Linked DNA regions of Nothobranchius furzeri. The main gene of each other region encodes a partner of the protein of the gene in region 2 in a complex. Links are inferred from orthologs where the notes say so. Each region holds a gene or a part of one and is shown on either strand. Other genes may lie near its edges.

What was found.
Region 1: nsmce4a (region 2) and nsmce1 share a complex: the UniProt entries of both Homo sapiens proteins name them as parts of the SMC5-SMC6 complex. The link is inferred for Nothobranchius furzeri from reciprocal best matches to the Homo sapiens genes NSMCE4A and NSMCE1.
Region 3: nsmce4a (region 2) and smc5 share a complex: the UniProt entries of both Homo sapiens proteins name them as parts of the SMC5-SMC6 complex. The link is inferred for Nothobranchius furzeri from reciprocal best matches to the Homo sapiens genes NSMCE4A and SMC5.

Annotation. Positions count from the first base shown.
Region 1 is NC_091744.1:4,221,251-4,227,203, reverse strand, and holds the start of nsmce1 (non-structural maintenance of chromosomes element 1 homolog), read right to left. Parts: upstream 4,146-5,953; 5' UTR 4,066-4,145; coding exon 3,855-4,065; intron 3,230-3,854; coding exon 3,101-3,229; intron 2,765-3,100; coding exon 2,643-2,764; intron 2,486-2,642; coding exon 2,408-2,485; intron 2,311-2,407; coding exon 2,164-2,310; intron 463-2,163; coding exon 346-462; intron 1-345. UniProt on the Homo sapiens protein: RING-type zinc finger-containing E3 ubiquitin ligase that assembles with melanoma antigen protein (MAGE) to catalyze the direct transfer of ubiquitin from E2 ubiquitin-conjugating enzyme to a specific substrate.
Region 2 is NC_091752.1:15,327,284-15,333,200, reverse strand, and holds the start of nsmce4a (non-structural maintenance of chromosomes element 4 homolog A), read right to left. Parts: upstream 3,910-5,917; 5' UTR 3,648-3,909; intron 3,484-3,647; 5' UTR 3,455-3,483; coding exon 3,250-3,454; intron 3,163-3,249; coding exon 3,082-3,162; intron 2,962-3,081; coding exon 2,831-2,961; intron 2,518-2,830; coding exon 2,372-2,517; intron 2,236-2,371; coding exon 2,136-2,235; intron 1-2,135. Other genes in the region: coiled-coil domain-containing protein 177, read left to right, coding at 4,713-5,917. UniProt on the Homo sapiens protein: Component of the SMC5-SMC6 complex, a complex involved in DNA double-strand breaks by homologous recombination. The complex may promote sister chromatid homologous recombination by recruiting the SMC1-SMC3 cohesin complex to double-strand breaks.
Region 3 is NC_091755.1:27,650,707-27,656,936, forward strand, and holds the start of smc5 (structural maintenance of chromosomes protein 5), read left to right. Parts: upstream 1-2,743; 5' UTR 2,744-2,945; coding exon 2,946-3,109; intron 3,110-3,423; coding exon 3,424-3,565; intron 3,566-3,787; coding exon 3,788-3,840; intron 3,841-4,000; coding exon 4,001-4,163; intron 4,164-4,526; coding exon 4,527-4,661; intron 4,662-4,843; coding exon 4,844-4,984; intron 4,985-5,071; coding exon 5,072-5,233; intron 5,234-5,304; coding exon 5,305-5,376; intron 5,377-5,493; coding exon 5,494-5,749; intron 5,750-5,832; coding exon 5,833-5,987; intron 5,988-6,162; coding exon 6,163-6,230. UniProt on the Homo sapiens protein: Core component of the SMC5-SMC6 complex, a complex involved in repair of DNA double-strand breaks by homologous recombination.

The DNA.
Region 1 (5,953 bases), on a different chromosome or scaffold from region 2:
GGTACCATCAATTACCTCTAGAAGGACATCTAGTGAACAAAAATAAGAACTGGTTAAATGGTTGTTACAGGCTCTTAGATACTAGGAATCTGGAGTTTTGTGATTATCTTGTTTCTTTATTTTTTTTCTCTCTGATTGTGCCCTGTGCAAATTTATGACAATAAATAAATAAATACACTCAACATTAAATAATCAAGATCTCAATTTCAGTCAAAATAATTGCGATTATCATTTTTGCCATAGCCGAGCAGCCCTAGTATTAATACCTAAATAATTTCAGGAATTTGCCACCCGAGCATAGAGACAACAGAAAAAGGTTGTATGACGTAAAAAGGGAACAATTACCTGAAAAGCAACGCTGTGACAGATGTAGCACATCTTGACCTGATCTTGATACATGGCACGAATGTATGGCTCCATCTCTATGATGCACCGAGTGGACAGAGTGTACTCCCCTCGTTTCTAAGGGGGTAAACAACACTGAATCACACGAAAAACACAGCAAGAAGGGAACAAACTGCTTTAATATAATCTCTTAAGTCATTGTTCAACTCAGACTACGAGAGACTTGTTTAGATCTGTTATTTTATATATAATCTAGCTGTGAAAAAGCATTTTTATCCTGAAGTCTGTGTGCAGAGAACTGGAAACCAAATCTAAATGGATAAACTTTATTCCTTTCAGTGTGGCAGACGGAGGTAATGTGTTTTTGTGGGATGCATTCAAGCTCAATTTAAAGTTTGTCTGAAAAATATAAATATGTACACTGAATTTTAAAACAATGCTTGCTATTTAATAACAGTCAACAACTTGGTGTAACAGTTTCTCACACACAACTACAAATTCACACACAAATTCTATATTGTTAGAAAAAATAAGAGCAGAATCAGATGCAGTTTCCCCAAGGAATTTTCCCAGCTGTGGCGGTGGGTGGGGGTGGGGAGTGATTGTGACACGTCTCTAAATAAAGTAAAATTTTCCAGTGCAGTGTGGAGACAACCCATAGAAGCACTGATTTGATCTCATTTCAGAGAAAAATAGAACAGGTTAGATGCACCTAATAAATAAAATTACAAACAAACTCAGGAATCTGTTTCTTTGCTTCCCTGTTCTGGTGCTGAGAACATCACTAATGCGGATCAAAGGAGATGCACAGATGAATGCACCTCTTATTTATTATTTGGAGACTACATTTACTGCAGCTGGCAGAGGTAGAGATTTTTTCTATTGATACACGTAATTTACAGAATCATTTTAAATGTTAATAGGGGAAGACTGCAGGAGGGAGCGGTAAAATACAGGGGGTCCCCAGCAAAAACAAGAAACTACGAGTCTGACGAAACCCGCTGGTTTTCCATCAGGCAGTCACGGGGCAGCTCCAACGACCCAGTGGCTGTGCTGGGTCAGTGTTATCGAGCTCAGTCCGGCTCGGCCGTGAACGAGCCGAGGCGACGTCGTGCTCTGCTTAAGAAGAAGCGTTATTTTCCCGCTTCAGAAGAAGCGTCCAACGTGTTTTTACGCTTTCTCCGAGACATGTCACGTCGCTAAGTTGTTAGCGCCGCACGCTAACACGTCAATAGTGCAACGTAGCCTGCTGGAGGTTTTAAGGGTTCAGATGAAACACCCGACCGCTCAGGCTGCTCACACATCGATCTTAAGTTGTCGCTGTTGCGCTCACGCCGTAATACAGTATTAGATGCGGTTAAAGTCAGACATGAAAAAATAAATCAATTTTACATGAATAAGTGATGCTTAGCCTGGTGGGGGGAGGAAACCCTGTCACTCGTTTATCTTAATGCTATTGAAACACATAAACCAAAAAGCATTATATCCACTGCTACCTTTCTAATTTTAAACTCAGTAACTTATGCTGTAACTTCACCTTGCCCTGCCTGCTCCTCCTTGCTGCCCGCCGGCTGTGATCACAAGCGACAACATAGTAGTTCCTGCTGCTTCTTCAGGAAACAGCGCAAAAAAATAACAATAAAATTAAAAAAAAACTTGGGATCTTGTAGGCGTAGCGGTGGGATTTCAGCTGTGGCGGGCCGCCACGGCTACGCCTATGTAAGGGAAACCCTGAGATGGTACAACTGGTTAAAATGACCAAAAACTGTGGGATTTGTGATATTTTTTCTCAAATGTTGGTGCAGACTTTTATTTTACCTCACAAAGCCATTTGTCGCTCACAAGTCGAGTTAAAAGGTGCTCTGTTTCACTCTTCTTGAGCTTCTTAGTGATCATCATGTCGGCGCTGTTCAGGATGTCAGTGGAGGAAGCTGTGCCATTTTCAGAGCTCACGATCAGGTCCATCTGAATTAGAACAGAGTCATTAAGTCTGTAATAATATAGTAGCAAAATGTATGTGTGTGTTTGAGAACAATGTCTGAGAAAGTTAAACTTCACTCACGGTCTTTCTGAACAACTCCAGTTCATTATCGGCATATTCTGACGACATCCTGGTGATTTCAGTTTCAGCCGTGTTTACCTGGCCAGAAGAATCAGAGCAGAACGACCTTCAACAACAACATGCAATAATTCTCCTGACATACTAAACAGATACAAATCACTGGACCGTCAATAACATTCCTATTTGAGGGAATTAACCTAAGTGTGAACACTAAAGTGGAGTTAAATTCACTAACCAAAGCGTAGAACTGCTGACCATTTTCCTCAGACATCCCCTTCCTAATCTGCATGAACAGCGGCTGCAGCTTTGAGTTGATGGTCTCGATGAACTCATCCAGTTTGTCAGGAGCATATTGTGCTGTCAAAGTAAAGAAAAAGAGTGATTTAGAAGGTAATTTTTTACAGTCAGACAACATAAAGTCTCTAAAAATAAGACGGACAGTAAGGTAAACACACTGAAACTGCCTGAATCTACATGTGAGGTTTTAAATGTTTTATTCTTTTCACTGGATTCATGATTAAAGGCCATTTAATTATCTCTGGAAGTAAAATGCCAACTTAAAATCTCAATAGTGAGGACACTGATCTATTCAATGTTACAAATATCATTCAGGACTCTGCACTAACTCCCCGACCTGATTACTCCACACCAGTCAATGTTTATAAATGTGTGAAAATGTAATAATGAACTCACTTTTGTGTGTTTCGCAGCAGATTTGATGAAGTGCCTTTGCTTTTTTATCATCAATGATGCCGCTGACCATCATTTTCTGCAGGAACCTTCGATGGCTGTCTCCCAGATGTTGTGCCATGGCTACAAACACTGAATCAGCGATCATATTTGAAAAATGAGATCATAATAGAAACAACTCCTCGACAGTTATTTCAATATGAAAATGCATAATAGTTATTTGGACACATTTAGTGCCATCGTGGTCTTTTCCAATGTGAACACCTGTTAATGTTGACAGCTTCAACACTTCAATATAACCAGATAAAAACTGCTGCAACCTCCAAATGCTGACTGCGCTGCAGTCAATAAGCTGCATGATACATTTCAGCGAATCGACACAAAATTAAACCCAAAACACATGGAGACAAATGAAGAACCACAAACCAGGATCTTGACAAGGTTTTGGCGAAAATTGACTGAAATCAGGATTTGTGTGACTTGATGTCAAGATAAACCCAAGAGGATGATTCCGTTTATAGCTCATACTGAATAATACCCGTTTTAAATACTAAACAGACAGCTTGCTTGTGTGAAACACTTCATGTGTTTGCACGTTGGTTCAAAGAGCTTAGCTGGTCTCAAAGGGTTTATTTTTCCTTCAGACTAAACAAAAGGCTGGAAACTGTTCATTTATACACGTGAGTTCAACTTTAAACGTCCTTTTACTCGTGTCCGTAAGAAAATTTCCAGTCAAGCAGCTCATTTGTTAACTTACCGTTTTCGACAACAAAATAAAAAAGAGCAGAATTTGCTCCTTCTCTCCGAGGGGGCGCGCTTTCTCTGTTTCCGTGATTTTTCCCACCAGTGGTGCTGAACGAGCGCCACCTGCTGGTGAGGAGGGTCACGAACGCAACAGCTTCTATTACGAACACGCACCCTCTAAACAATGAATTAACAAATAAACAAAACTCTTCATCTAGATTCATAGAAGAAAGCTATGAGAATTATATATAAAGTAGACGCTAGAGAACATACCAACAGACTTTTTATTGAATCAAAAATTATGAAATTCGGGGATTTGGTTAATTTGAAAACTTTACTAATTATGTTCAGGGCAAAAAAGAGGTTACTGCCAGTGAAGTTACAGGAGTTTTTTGTTTTGATTTCAAATGATGGGAAAAAATAGAAAGAAGCCTGAGTTTAAAAGAGTTTTTGCACAAATAACATTAACGCAAATGTGTATTTCAGTATACCGAGTAAATTTATGGAATAATCTGCATCATGACCTGAAAAAATGTTAAACTACCGATCAATTTAAGAGACTATATAAAGAAAAAAAATCATAGAATCCTACATTGATAAGTTAATATTGAATAAGTATATAGATACGTTTTATTGTGATTTTGTTTACAAAGATAAGGAAGTTCTATACGTGGTTTGTGTATAAGGCCATTCTGTAAATTATATTGTATGAAGTAGAAAGGGGTAGGTCATACAAGACTTCTTCCTCCTCCCCCTTTTTTTCACTTGGGAGACTGTTGATGATTGTATTTTGCATGAATGATGAATGAAACTGCTGAGTGAGAAAATAAATTAACAATTAACAATTTGTCACGACATTTAAAACTGAAGCCTGTTGGTTGGGTCTATGTTGTCATGTTGGTGTTTAACTGGCTTTTATGATTTGGCACTATGATCATTCATTTATAAACATATTTTGTATAAAATCCACTTGGAAAGGTTTTTCAAATGTTCACTTATGTGGAAGACGGTCCTTCATTCTTTATCTCAGCTGCTTAGATAGAGGAGTATGTTTGTTGAGTGTATCTGGTGCTTTATACATCCATAAGGAACAGCAACAAGACTTATTCTAAAGGTTTATTATTCTAGCAAATTAAATAAGAACGTATGATACAAGATGTCTGAGTCTCGGATTATAATATAGCCTATTATTAACATTTAAGTACAGTATCCGATGTCATTAAGCTTTACTGCAGAATTTTTCCTAATATTCTTTGACATTTTCCAACTTCTTTTGAAGCTTTTCACCATTAAGTTACAACAGAAAATGTGTCAGAAAACAGTTGTGTTGTCATTACAGCACTCATCGGGGCAACGTGGTGATCAGTGTGTTTGCATCCAACATAAATTAATTAAGGTCAAAGAATGAAGTTGTGTTTAAAATGAAGTCCCTATATTTAACAATATCTTCTTAAATCACATTATCCCCGACTCTACAAACAGACCACATTCAAAATGTTTTTAGGAGTAAAATCAAAACAGCTTTCTAACAAATAACCTTCTGCAGTTAAAAAGCATAGATTCAACTCAAAGTGTCTGTAGTCAACACCACACTGTGATAACTTCAATCCCAAATCCTAAATTTGACTTGTTCGCTTGCACAAAAAAAAAAAAAAAAGAATCGGGCAACTTATCGACTTTATGCTCCATCATAGGATGCATGTAAAATGTGGAAAAAGGCCAAAGAAATAGAATAAATTATGTGCAAAGGACAGTTTGCCTTTGAGGACTGAAAAATGATATCAGAGATAAAGAAAACAAACACTAACCTTCAGCATTTCACACATTTTCTACACTGATGCCACCTTTCTGGTGATAATGTACTAAATGTTTGTCCTTCAACAAGTATTCGTATCAAACATCCTGAACAAGTGCAGGTGATCTCCGTGTGCGACATTCATCCCAAAATTAAATTTTTTATCATCACTTCCAAATCAAAAAGGGAAATTATCCACAACGTTAAACCTTAATGGAGTGTCTGGATTTTCCAGGTACGTGTCACTCGTGCTTCCATTTCGGGCCTCTTGTTGGTGAATTTCGGATGGTCTTGACTGATTTAGCCTATCATCATCA
Region 2 (5,917 bases):
AATCAAGGAAAATTTATAACAAAAAAATATATAAATAGCAACAATGGCGTCTTTTAACAAACAAAATCTAACATAAGTAACCTAAGTAGGACTCTGTGACTACACTTGTCCAAGCATCAGTGGTAAAGGAGATTTTGGACGAGGCCTTTTTTAGTTCGTTCCTTAGTTTCTCAACTGAAGTTTGATACTTTCTCTCCATCATGCTTGTAAAATGGCGCCTAGAAGGCAGAGTGTAACCTGGTTGAAAAGTGGTCAGCATTTCTTTGAATCCTTCACCCTCAACCACAGCAAGTGGTCTCATGTCTTTCAGAATCATAGATAGGATGCTCTAAGTAAGTACAGCCACCTCCTGGGGGGTGCAGGGCGTTCTTTTCCGACAGTAGTCCTCCAGACTTTTCTGTTTGTTCCTGAAAACATAAATCACACAAACAACACACAGATAAATTAAAATTATTACAAAAATATTTATGTAGAAAGCATAATATCAAAATAATAATTTGAAGATCTGTATTTTAGTGTTTAATCAAAATATTTAATCGATAAGATTTGTTAAAAAAGAGGTTTTTAACACAAAATGCTGCACATTTTTGTAGTCATTAGATGGTGCAACTTAGATCTATAAGATCAACAAGCTGGAGGAGCATGATGTATAAAAAATAACGTTCGAACAGGATGAGGCATTAAACTTGACAATCAAGAGTCCGTTGTCATTTTGCTTTTGCAAGCACTTCAACAATATTGTAATAATGTCCACGACGGCTACATTTAGCAGGTGCTACATTGTCTTTGTTAACATTTTTACTGCGGACAATTAGTGCTCGCTCACATTTTCAGCTCTCGCCGATTCTCATAATCAGCACGTGCGCATTCCGACTCATTTGGCCATCATGAGCCACGAATAAAAACAAACAAAACAGATAACAGCTGCTGCTGTATGTTACTACTAAGCAGCTTAAATGAGGGTTAGTGAGTTCCAGGGGTTGAGTGTTTATCTTTGTGTGAGAGTGGGCCTGCTTGTGTGTGTGAGTTAGTGCATGGCTACGTGGTGGTGTTTGGATGTTATAAAACAGCGTTAGTAGAAAAAAAAAGTTGAAAACTTACGGTGTTTTTTTGTTTGCAGAAGCTGCTCCTGGATGCCTTTGTTTGAGGTGCCGGTGCATAGCAGTCGTGCTTATATGATAGGCCATTTCCACTTTACACAGCCGGCAAACGACTGAATCGCTTCCTTTTCTGTTAAAATAGTCCCATACTTTTGAACTGCGAGTTCGGGTTGAGTGATTTAAGTCGACTGCCCCGCTCACATTGCCACTACTCGCTGCTGCCATGTTTGTTTTTGAACGTGATGACGCATCGACGCAAATTATTTGCGTCTACGTATTTTACGTGTCGACGTAATCGATTACGTCGACGCGTCGTCCCGGCCCTAGTGAAAAACCAAACCAGTTCCATATAATGGACAAGGCATTCCTCTTCGGAACGAAAACCTCGTTGTCGCTCTCAGCCACGGCTGAAGCCATGTTTGTTCACACACAGGTGAAAACAAGTGGGGCACTAATATATTACTATGACTCACTCTGATTGATTAAGGGTCAAACAAAGGCGTGTCATTTGCCTGAGGTAAGTTCCCTTTTCATTCAGAGGCAGAATTTCAACAGCAGAGCTGTGAATCGTGATTTAAAGGTCTCTCAAAAATGACAGACCGTCAGATGTGTAGATCGTAAAACGGTCTAAAATCGTCATATCGCCCAGCCCTAGTGGGAGTAATACTCTGGTAGGGGGTGACTTGCTCTTTAAAGTTGTGATACTGAGAAGAGTTCAGATGGGCCTGTATCAGAAAGTACAAGTAAACTGTAGAGGAAAGTAGCTTCAGACGATTTGGAGTCTTATTTCTTGATATTTGGACATCTCACCTCAGAACTGAAAACAGCAACACAACTCTACCACTGACTCTGTTTGCTTTCCAACGTTGATGTTTTATCTCTACAAGCAACACAAGCCTGTTAAGAGTCCTGCTGTGTGGTTGGTTTTTCGGTGAATCACACCTTTAAGGCTTCTGTTTTCTTAAGGGATAATACTCCTACCTATAACCTTTTGCACAGACAGGTTTGTAACAGAAATATAACAAGTTTAGTTACCTGAGTGGGCATCATTCTTTTGGCTTCCTTATTGGGAGCTCTTCTTTGCCGCTCTGTTCTCTGCTTTGGAGGAGGTGGTTCTGCATGGAAGGATCCCATCCTGTTGAAGACAACCAAAATAAGACTTAACAAAAACAACTGTAGAAATTTGGATTTCAGATGTATGTGTATCTTGTCTTCATTTGTCCCGTTTAAATACGAGCTATAGCTGGTACGTAGCATTGTTTGGTACTCACATGTAGTGGAAAGAAGGTGCGGTCTTAAAGCAGCTCTCTGTTCTCTGGGCCAGTCTGTGCCAAGCGTCTTTGGGCAGATAGCCCTCACCTTCATTCTGATGATCATCCTCCTCATCTTCAAGTCGGTTCAGACCCATGAAGGACAGCTGTTTGAGATGAAAAGGTACTTTCAACACTTCTTTTGGTTGTTTGTGTAGCAGTTGGGGTAAACCATCTGTCATTTTCAAAATAAAACTGCTAATTCAAATTGCACGACCACGTGATCGTCAAAACTGAGGTTTTTGCAGCGCTGCTAACCGACCCAGAATCTGCTCCCTGATATAAACAAATTATTTTTACTTTTAAAAGGTGGCAACACTAACTTATGCAACCAGTGCAGGACTTCTGATTGCACGAACTCAGAAAAATACAGTGTAGATATGTGATTATAGCTGTGCATAGTACAGTAAACACACTTACAAGGTGCTCAGTAAATACAGTAGGATCAAACGTGCTCCCCTCAGAAAACAGCTGGCTGGCTTTCTCTTTTCCCAGGTCTGTGGCTGCGACAAGGAGCTTGGCATCGAGCGCTGCTTCCCTCGGCTGTCGAACTGTCACACAAATCAACCTCATCATTCTGAGTGGCTGCATCAGGATAAATGACTTAAATAAGGACACAGAATTGTAACATTAGAAGTAATCTGCTAACAAATTACTTGCATCACACCTACCATCTTTAAAAAGTTTGTTGGCCTCTTCCAAAACTTCTGTGAGCTTGTTGTTAGATGGACTCAGCATATCTTCCCTGTTTTCTGAAGGAGAAAAGTCAAGGAGTAGATGGATTTATGACGTGTTGGGAGGACTAACATCAGGTAAAAGCTGTCCGGGTATCCACTCACGTTGTACTGAGTTGATGAGGTCTCGGTACTTGCTCCTTATCTCTCTCCTCTGGCCCTGTTTGTTAATTTCATCCTCGTCGTCTTGCTGAGCAGCCGAGCTGGAGTCACCGTTAGCGTCTTCCCCCTCACGATGATCAGCTAACTGATTAGAGGAGCCGTTCTGCCGACGAGTCTCCACGTTTCCGCCAGCTTTAGACCTCCTCATCTTCAGCCTTTGCCGAAACTAGCTGCGTGCTACAAAAGTCGCAAATCAACAGTTAGGGGAATTATTACTTTAAAAAGTCAACTTCAAACAAATAAAGGCAGTGTTGGTCGACTCAAGCGTCCGATTGTATGGAAAAGTAAACACGTAGTTCTCTTAAGAACTTCAGAAAAATATAAAGACACAATTTCACTACCTTGAGTTATCCGTGGCGAACGTTAGACTGTAGTTTATTCTTGTCCTCGCGACGTGCTAAACGAAAGTTAGCTAGGTGAGTTGGAAAGTCGCACCGATAAAAGCGTTTGAGGTTAATTGTCGCCTCGAAGAAGCACTTTTTTGGTTTTATTTAAGTGCAACGCATAAAAAAAATAAAACAGGTTACATAAGCAAAGACACAAGCATTAAAACCAAAGAATACGTCCAAACCAGAGTTCTCGCGTGCAGACAGGAAGTTGTGTGACAAATCACAACCCGTCAAAATAAAAGCAGATCATCAAAGGATTATTTTAAAAAATAAAATTAAAAATATATGACACAGAGAATCTAAAAATTCAAAACATAAATCTAAAATTATTCTATTAGTTTTATGTGAGGTAGATACACAGGTAGAGCCAGAAGAAATGTTTATCTGAATATAAACATTAAACCTGTCTGAGAAATGACAGTGGCTTGTTGTGGCAAACGCTGCCAGTAGATGGCGCTAATACAAAAATTGACAGCACCAACTTAATGCGGGTGCTCCTCTTTATAAAATTCTTTGTTTGCCGCAGTGTTGTTATGGTAACCAAAAACGTCCAAGGTCTGCAGCCAGGTCCTACTCAAAACGTCTCTGCTCAGATTTTTAAGTGTCACTTCTATCAATTTTAAAGAAATGTTTACGTAAACTAAATTAGCATCATAATTTGGGATAAATAAGCTGAGTCTCTAGAAGTCACTGTGACATTAAATTTGCCTTTTAACTGAGACACATGTGTATAGTGACAATAAAATGAATTCTATTCTATTCTAGTCTATTTTATTCTAAAGTCCAATATAGCAGAAAGCACAAATCTAACACACACATTATTTAATTTGCTAACTAAAATCAGCTTTGCTATGTCAACAGAAAACACATAAGCCTCTATTCCTGTTACTACTGAGGTGGAGACACGGTAATCCCCTGCTGACCTCATCTCCGTGCTGGACAGGCTGTGTAGAGGTGAGCGGATCAGTAGAATCCAGTCCTATGTGAGCATATTGTCAAGGTGTCAGAACTTTTAAGATGGGGGAGGCGAAGTCCCCTTTTTTCTGTGCAGACCTGAACAATTTTGAGTCAGTGGGAGCAGAGAAGAGCCATTGCATTTTAGCAAGTCCAAGCTTGCCGGATTCCTGCCATCAACTCGGGATAAAACCGGTTCAGCTTCTAATTAAATCGCTGAACAACCTGATTACAGAGCAGCATGACATGCCTTTCGAGGCCATGAGGGTTATGCATGAATCCTACAGGAAAGAAAAATCAAAGGTTCTACAAATGTGCCATAAGGAGAAGGAGAAGAATGTCTCAGTGTCTGGCAGCAGGAGGTCTGTGAGTAATGCAGCTTCAAGCTTGGAAGTTTTGCCTAAAACAAAAATGTCAGACAAACAGACATCAGAGCCTATTCTATATGCCGATCTGTGCACTGAAGGGAAACAGTCTTGCAGGTCCAACTGCTCTGCTTCTGACACGAGAGACCCAGAAAGGAGCACAATCAGCAGCTTCCACCTGGGAAACCTGACATACTCACCTGCCACGGAAAAGCAGCTGCAAAGGCTCACAGCTGAAATCAAAAGGAAGACATGCGTCACAGTATCAGAGAGGGATCGTAAGATAGCAGCTCTCATGCTGGTCAAGCATCAAGAGGAGCAGGATCGCCTGAAGCTCTCACAGCAGGAGAAACTAAAGCAGCAGGAGGTCCGAAGGGAGGAGGAGACCCAGAAGGTCCAAGCAGATAAAGATAGAAGAAGAAGACTTAAGCAGAGTATGAAACGTTGGCATAAGGAACTGGAGGCCCGCAAGAGGAGGATGCAGCATCGGGAGAAAGAGAAGGCAGGCCATCTTGAACAGGTGGTGCTGCTTCAAGATGAACGCTGGAGGAGGCTGAAGGAGAAGGTAGAGGCACAACGTCGAGAAAAGTTGGAGTTTGCAGCAAAAGAGACAGAAAAGCGCAAATGCTTGAGAGAGACGTTTATGAGAGAGAAAGAGGAGTTAGAAAAAAGGGAGCTGAAGAAGGAGCAACAGATCGCAGTGGAGAAGGAGCAGAGGGCATTTAGGAGCAAAGTGTTGCAGGAGAAGAAGGAGAAAAAAAGGCTGCAAGAGGAGAATCGCAGGGAGCTGTTGCGACACATCCTACTGAAAAAGCAGGTGGAGCAACAGGTGGAGGAAGAGGAGGCACAGATGAGGAGCACACTGGAAAAAAAGTTCCAACGGTCTTCTGAAAATCGAGCCCA
Region 3 (6,230 bases), on a different chromosome or scaffold from region 2:
CAACGACTGGAGTGAGCTGCAAAAGTCACTAAAGCTCACTACCTACATTCCTTTATCTACCTTCAATAATCCATTGCAATCAATAGTTTCTGATCAATGTGCTTCTGAGTAGTTAAAGATTAAGTAAGGTTAACTAAATAAATAAAGCATTAGAAAAGGTGTGTTTGTTACTGAGATTTGCACAAACACTGATATTAGAAGCAGTTTCTAAACTCTACATGATGACTATCACACCTGCAACACGAAGCTCCACCAGTACCTGAGTGGTTAAAAACATCAAGGAAGCATTTAAAAGTTTCATTTTTATGAGTCAAGCAACATCTGAGTTTTAAAGAGAGACTTAAGCAAACTTTCCTGGCATCTACACAAAACACAATTGCATAAAGTTACAGACTTTGCACAAACGTTACCATAAACGGATCAAAAGTTAACTAAACAATCTAATAAAATGTGTAGGAACTCACTTTTTTCACAGATGACCCCTCCATAGCAGGATGGTGGAGGTCCACTGCTTCTGTCCACTATCCGTGTTTCTGTTTTATTCCATTGATGAAATCAGGTGTCCTCACTCATCATACTGTTGTTGACGGGGAACCTTGCAGACTCGGTGTACTGTAGCAGCAGTCATCAGTGGTTGTAGACAGTGAAATCTCATTATGCCATTCAAGATTACCTCACAACCCCCACAGGACACAGGATGCTAGATTAGTTAATTACCACAGACGCAAATACCACTTAAAACCAACGAAGCATGTAGATGACTGCTCTCCCAACAAACTCAGTCACCAACAAAAAAAGTGTTTGTGTGAATTATCTATTTGAGTACCGGTATTCCCTAAAAAATAAAGTTCTTTAAACTAGGATTTTTTCCCAAAAGGATGTCACTGTATATTTGTGAAAAATAAAAACTCCAACTTTATCACTGTTATTTTGAAATGCTCTCTCTCTCTCTCTCTCTCTCTCTCTCTCTCTCTCTCTCTCTCTCTCTCTCTCTCTCTCTCTCTCTCTCTCTCTCTCTCTCTCTCTCTCTCTCTCTCTCTATATATGTGTATACATACATATATATATGTATATATATATATATATATATATATATATATATATATATATATATATATATATATATATATATATATATATATAATTTATTTATGTGGTTTACTGGATTTAAATCAATCTGTGTTAGATTAAGATCACAGTTGCTCAGATTATTTACAGGCAATCATTTCTCAAGTTATTTTGACCAGCAATTGTGGGTTTATTTGTTAGTAACTTTTTATCAGATGTAAAGTATTCTGTGTTACGAAAAGTGCTCTACAAGTAATCTTTGATTTACTGAATGACAGAAAAATTACAAGAACAAATAAAAACATAATGAAACAAAATCACACACATTGATTTCTCACTGTTGAATTGTTTATATTTTTTAATACTAAAGAATAGAAAAGTGTCTCGTTTACAAGGAACAATTTAGTATTTTAATTTTGATTAGCCTTGCAAAGCTTTAATCCAAAACATTTAATCAATTAAACAAAACAAAACAACAACAAAAAAGAAAAATTGTTGGACTTTTCCCACAACAAACCACTAGATGGCGACAGTCTCCAAGCTGGCCATGTCCCATGATGCAACGCGTGCGCTTCCTTTTATATAGAGCCGGAAGTGTATAGCCATCATAGCATGAGTGGCTGGTTGTGTGCGTGTTGTTAGTTAGCGAGCGTCTGTGTGAGTGAATGTGGAGTATGCATGTTGTATGTGTGTATATTTTTAAAAACCTACACAGTGATCTTATTTGATCTGGTCTGAGTTTGGCTCTGCTCTGACTAGAAATGATAAAAAAAGCGCTCGCGAGCTTCTATGGGGGCGATGAGCAGCCGGCGACAAACACCTAATGGGGCCTCCACATTTCGTGCTGTGGTCAGAAGTGATGAATTGATCAGATATACTAGTTCTGGGTCGGCTTGAGGTTCGCCTTAAAGCTTTACCTGTAAGAACAATGAGTAAAGAGGCGATTCTGATCTCACCACAGCCGAAAAGAAGCCACGAGACCCGCATGTTAGGAAATGGTGAAACAAAAGTGGCTTTCATTTGTATAGATAAAGATGGATGGATGGATGATCTTTATTGACAGACTCTTATGTCCAGATTAAAAAATAAATAAATAAAACAAAACATTAAAAACAAATAAGATAAAAGCATAAACATCTAAATCTATTTAAAAAAACTTACTATAAAGATGTTCCACACAAGAGTAACCACACAAACACTTCAGCCAGTGTTTCCTTATACTGGACAAATAGCGACAAATGCTCACAGCAGGATCAGTGATTGCTAAAATTATACTGTTGGCAGAGCTATCCAGTCGTTCTCTAAAAGTGAACATTAGTTTTCTTAAAAGAGCTTTAAAGTACAAATGCCTGCTGTTACAAACATCTGACTGGCACTGCCCCCTCTGGGTATTTTGAGTATGATTCTTAAGGCATCATTGAATGCAACATGCAGCTTATTCATGCTGCTTTGATTGTAAGATCAAAATTACTGCCCAACAAAACCAAAAATACTGCTCAACCACAGTTGGGCTGTATAAAGCGGAGTACAATATGCTTTAAATAAAGCCACCTTAACTGGTGAACAAAAACTTACGTGCTATAGTATTATTGGCCTGTGCATACAGCTTACAGCACCATGGCATGTAGTCATGCAAATGCTAAAATTGGCCATTAGAGACAAATTCGGACTTTTTTATGAGCAAAAACTACACAAGCATAAAAAAAATTACACAAGCATATCCGTGTTCCTGTTTTACTTTCATACATGTTCTCGTGATAGTTAGCGTTAACATTTTTATGTACATGTGACCTCTTAAAAGCTCAGCAAAACGCGCGAGAATAAGCAACGTGATCGTAGCCGAACCGTAGCCGCGAAGAGAATTTTGTTTAGTCGCTATGGGCGAATCAAGTAAAAGACCGAGATTAAGTCAAATTAGCAGAAACACGCAGACTTCTGCGAGCAGAGCAAGCGTGTTCAGAGGTGGACACTCGGATATTGCCGGAGGCGTTGGTACATTTGTTGAGGGTTCCATCCTTCGCATCACGATGAGAAACTTCCTGTAAGTTGTAGTTCCTTAACTGTCAAGAGTTCTACCGGTAGCCAGCAAACATCACATTGTGCTCTTAGATAACATACAAGCTTATAATAGCACCATTTGTTGTTTTATAAAGTTTTAAACCTTTTGATCACGTAGTTTGCGCACAGAAGTGAACAGCTAGCATACAATTAGTGGTTTAACGGCTCAATTTTAGCTGTTTAAATATAGTGATACAATAAATACAATGTTTTGTGTAAAATTAGCTATATAAGATAACATTTTGCGCAGTGTGACATAACCGAAAACTCCTAAATGTGTTTTCTGTCCACTGACAGAACGTATGACTTCTCTGTGGTCCATCCGGGATCCAATCTGAACATGATTGTTGGAGCTAACGGGACTGGGAAGTCCAGCATTGTATGTGCCATCTGCCTGGGTCTGGCTGGAAAGACAGCAATTCTGGGCAGAGGAGACAAGGTACACAAACCACCTGCACTGGTCTACTTGATTTATTCTGAAAAAGACCATTTAAGAAAGCGATGGAGTCAAGATTTTTATTGGTTTGTTAAAATCACACTGGTAATAAAGACATATAAACATTTGCAGAAACTATTTAATTTCTGTTGTTTATGCACCACAGAGTCATGATTGCTACAAGCTTTTAATGGTTAAATAAATTGATTTAGATTATTTATGCAGGTTGGGCTCTATGTCAAACGTGGCTGCAAGAAAGGCTCTATTGAGATTGAACTGTAAGTTACTTTACATAGATTTTCCTCTATTACACTTTTTGTATTTTTAATCTAAATTCCAGATTGATGCTCTTGCATAACAAGTACCAAGCTAATGGTTGACCAGCCAGATAACATTAGACATGCTTGCATGAAATGATGTCTGTTTTTGCCTCTACAGGTACAAAAATGGAGGTAATGTGATAATTAACAGAGAGATCCATGTAGAGAACAATCAGTCACTTTGGATGCTGAATGGAAGACACTGCAGCCTGAAACAAGTAGAAGAAGAGGTCAGGACTCTGCAAATTCAAGTCAGCAACCTCTGCCAGTTCCTCCCTCAGGTAGGTTTTCTAGATGTGATCTAGCTCAGTGGCCTAGTGGCAGAGTGTCTGTTCTGGGACTGGGAGATCAGGGATTGGATTCCCGGTCGGGTCATACCAAAAACTTTAAAACTGGGACCCAGTACATCCCTGCTTGACACTCAGCTTTAAGAGGTTGGATTGGGGGTTAAACCACCAAATAGTTTCCAAGCGCAGCCACCGCTGCTGCTCACCACTCCCCTCCATGGGGATAGGTCAAATGTGCAGATGAATTTCACCAGTGTGTAATGATGACTATGTGACTTTAACTTTAGTGCTTCACTTGTGCAAAGTAAAACGTGTCAGAAATCTTCATTTTCTAACTTCTTCTCTGTTCTGTCACAGGAAAAAGTTGGAGAGTTTGCAAAAATGTCCCAAATTGAGTTGCTTGAGGCAACCGAGAAGTCGGTTGGACCACCAGAAATGTACGAGTACCACTGTGAGCTTAAAAACTTCCGCAGCAAAGAACGAGAACTGGAGGTGAAACTTTATTTTATTTGTGTAACAGTTTTTTTTTGGGAATAACTGTTTAGATAATCTAATTCCCGTTGAGATCTCAGCTATGTCAGCTGGATTGTTGTTACATGATAATTACATGTTTGCTGTTGTGAAAGATGCAACTCATCGTTTCGCTGCGGTTTTGGCGGGATGTTTGTCTGTAGAACGTCTTGAAGGAGAAGACGAGTTTCCTGGAAAAGGCCAAGCAGAGGAATGAGAGGAACAAGCTCGATGTCAACCGCTACTATGAAAAAAAGCGGCATCTTGACGTCATCGAGCTGCTGGAGAAGAAGAAACCGTGGGTGGTGAGTTATTCACATAAAGCACTCTGCACAAACTGTGGAAACAAATCCAGTTTGTAATCTGATTACCCTCTTTGGCTTTGATATCAGGAGTATGAAACCACTCGTAAGGAGCTGGAGGGTGTGAAGAAGGAGCGAGAAGAAGCCAAAAAGCAGCTTTTGACCCTGAAGCAAGCCCAGGCGCCCATGCTGAAGAAAATCCAGCAGATTGATGAAAAGCTGAAGCCCATTGAGGCAGAAATGAAAGCTAAGGTGACCGAAGGTGGCTTGCTGTCTAAATCTGTTACATGAACATTAAGTTAAACTAACCATGTGTGTTTCAGACTGCTGCTATCAAAGAAGCTTCTCAGAAGTGCAAGCAGAAACAAGATCAGCTGGATCGAAAACATAAAGAGGTGGTGGTGGTGGTGGGGTGGGGGGGGGGGGGGGTGTTGCTCAAAGAAGAGGAAAAAAAAAGTAACAATTAAATGTTTGAAATAACGTCATCCTTGTGGCTCATCTCTCCTCTGCAGATTGATGACATTAAACAGGCACTGAGGATGAAGCAGATTGAAGAGGAAGACCACCAGAAAAGAATCGTCAACACTAGACGGACCATCGAAGACCTGAAGGTGGAGCTGGACAAGCTCGGAGACCAACTAGACACCACCCTGCTGATTTCTGCTATTAGTGTGGAACTTAAGGAGATCCAGGAGAGGACAGCCAGGATTGAAGCGGAAAAGGCCGACCTGCGCAGGGAGAGGGACAACGTCATCGCAGAGTCCAGAAGTGAGTTTAAAACTAAACAGACTTTACATTTAATGATTAAAATAACAGACGGCATTGCTAGGATTTTATTATTTTAATGCCAGGCTTGCAGAAGAAGCTCAATGACATGAACAACCTGATGAACATGAAAGAAGAGAAGCTGCGGACACGCCACAGGGACACACACACCGCTCTCCTTTGGCTCAGAGAGAACAGACAGCTGTTCAGAGGAAACATTCATGAGCCCATGATGCTGGTGGTGAGTTCCATCACTGGAAATGTGTATTACTAGAAGTTTTAGTTGCTGTAAAATGCCGAAGTTTGATGTTTCAACCCACAAGTTTAGTCATAAATGTATTAAATGAAAAATAAAATCTCGTTTTCCTATAAGTAGATGTTAAAACGTAATGGTTACTTGGCCTTCGTTATCACAGATCAACGTAAAGGATCATCAGAATGCCAAGTATGTGGAGAACCACATCTCCTTCCACGACCTGCGAGC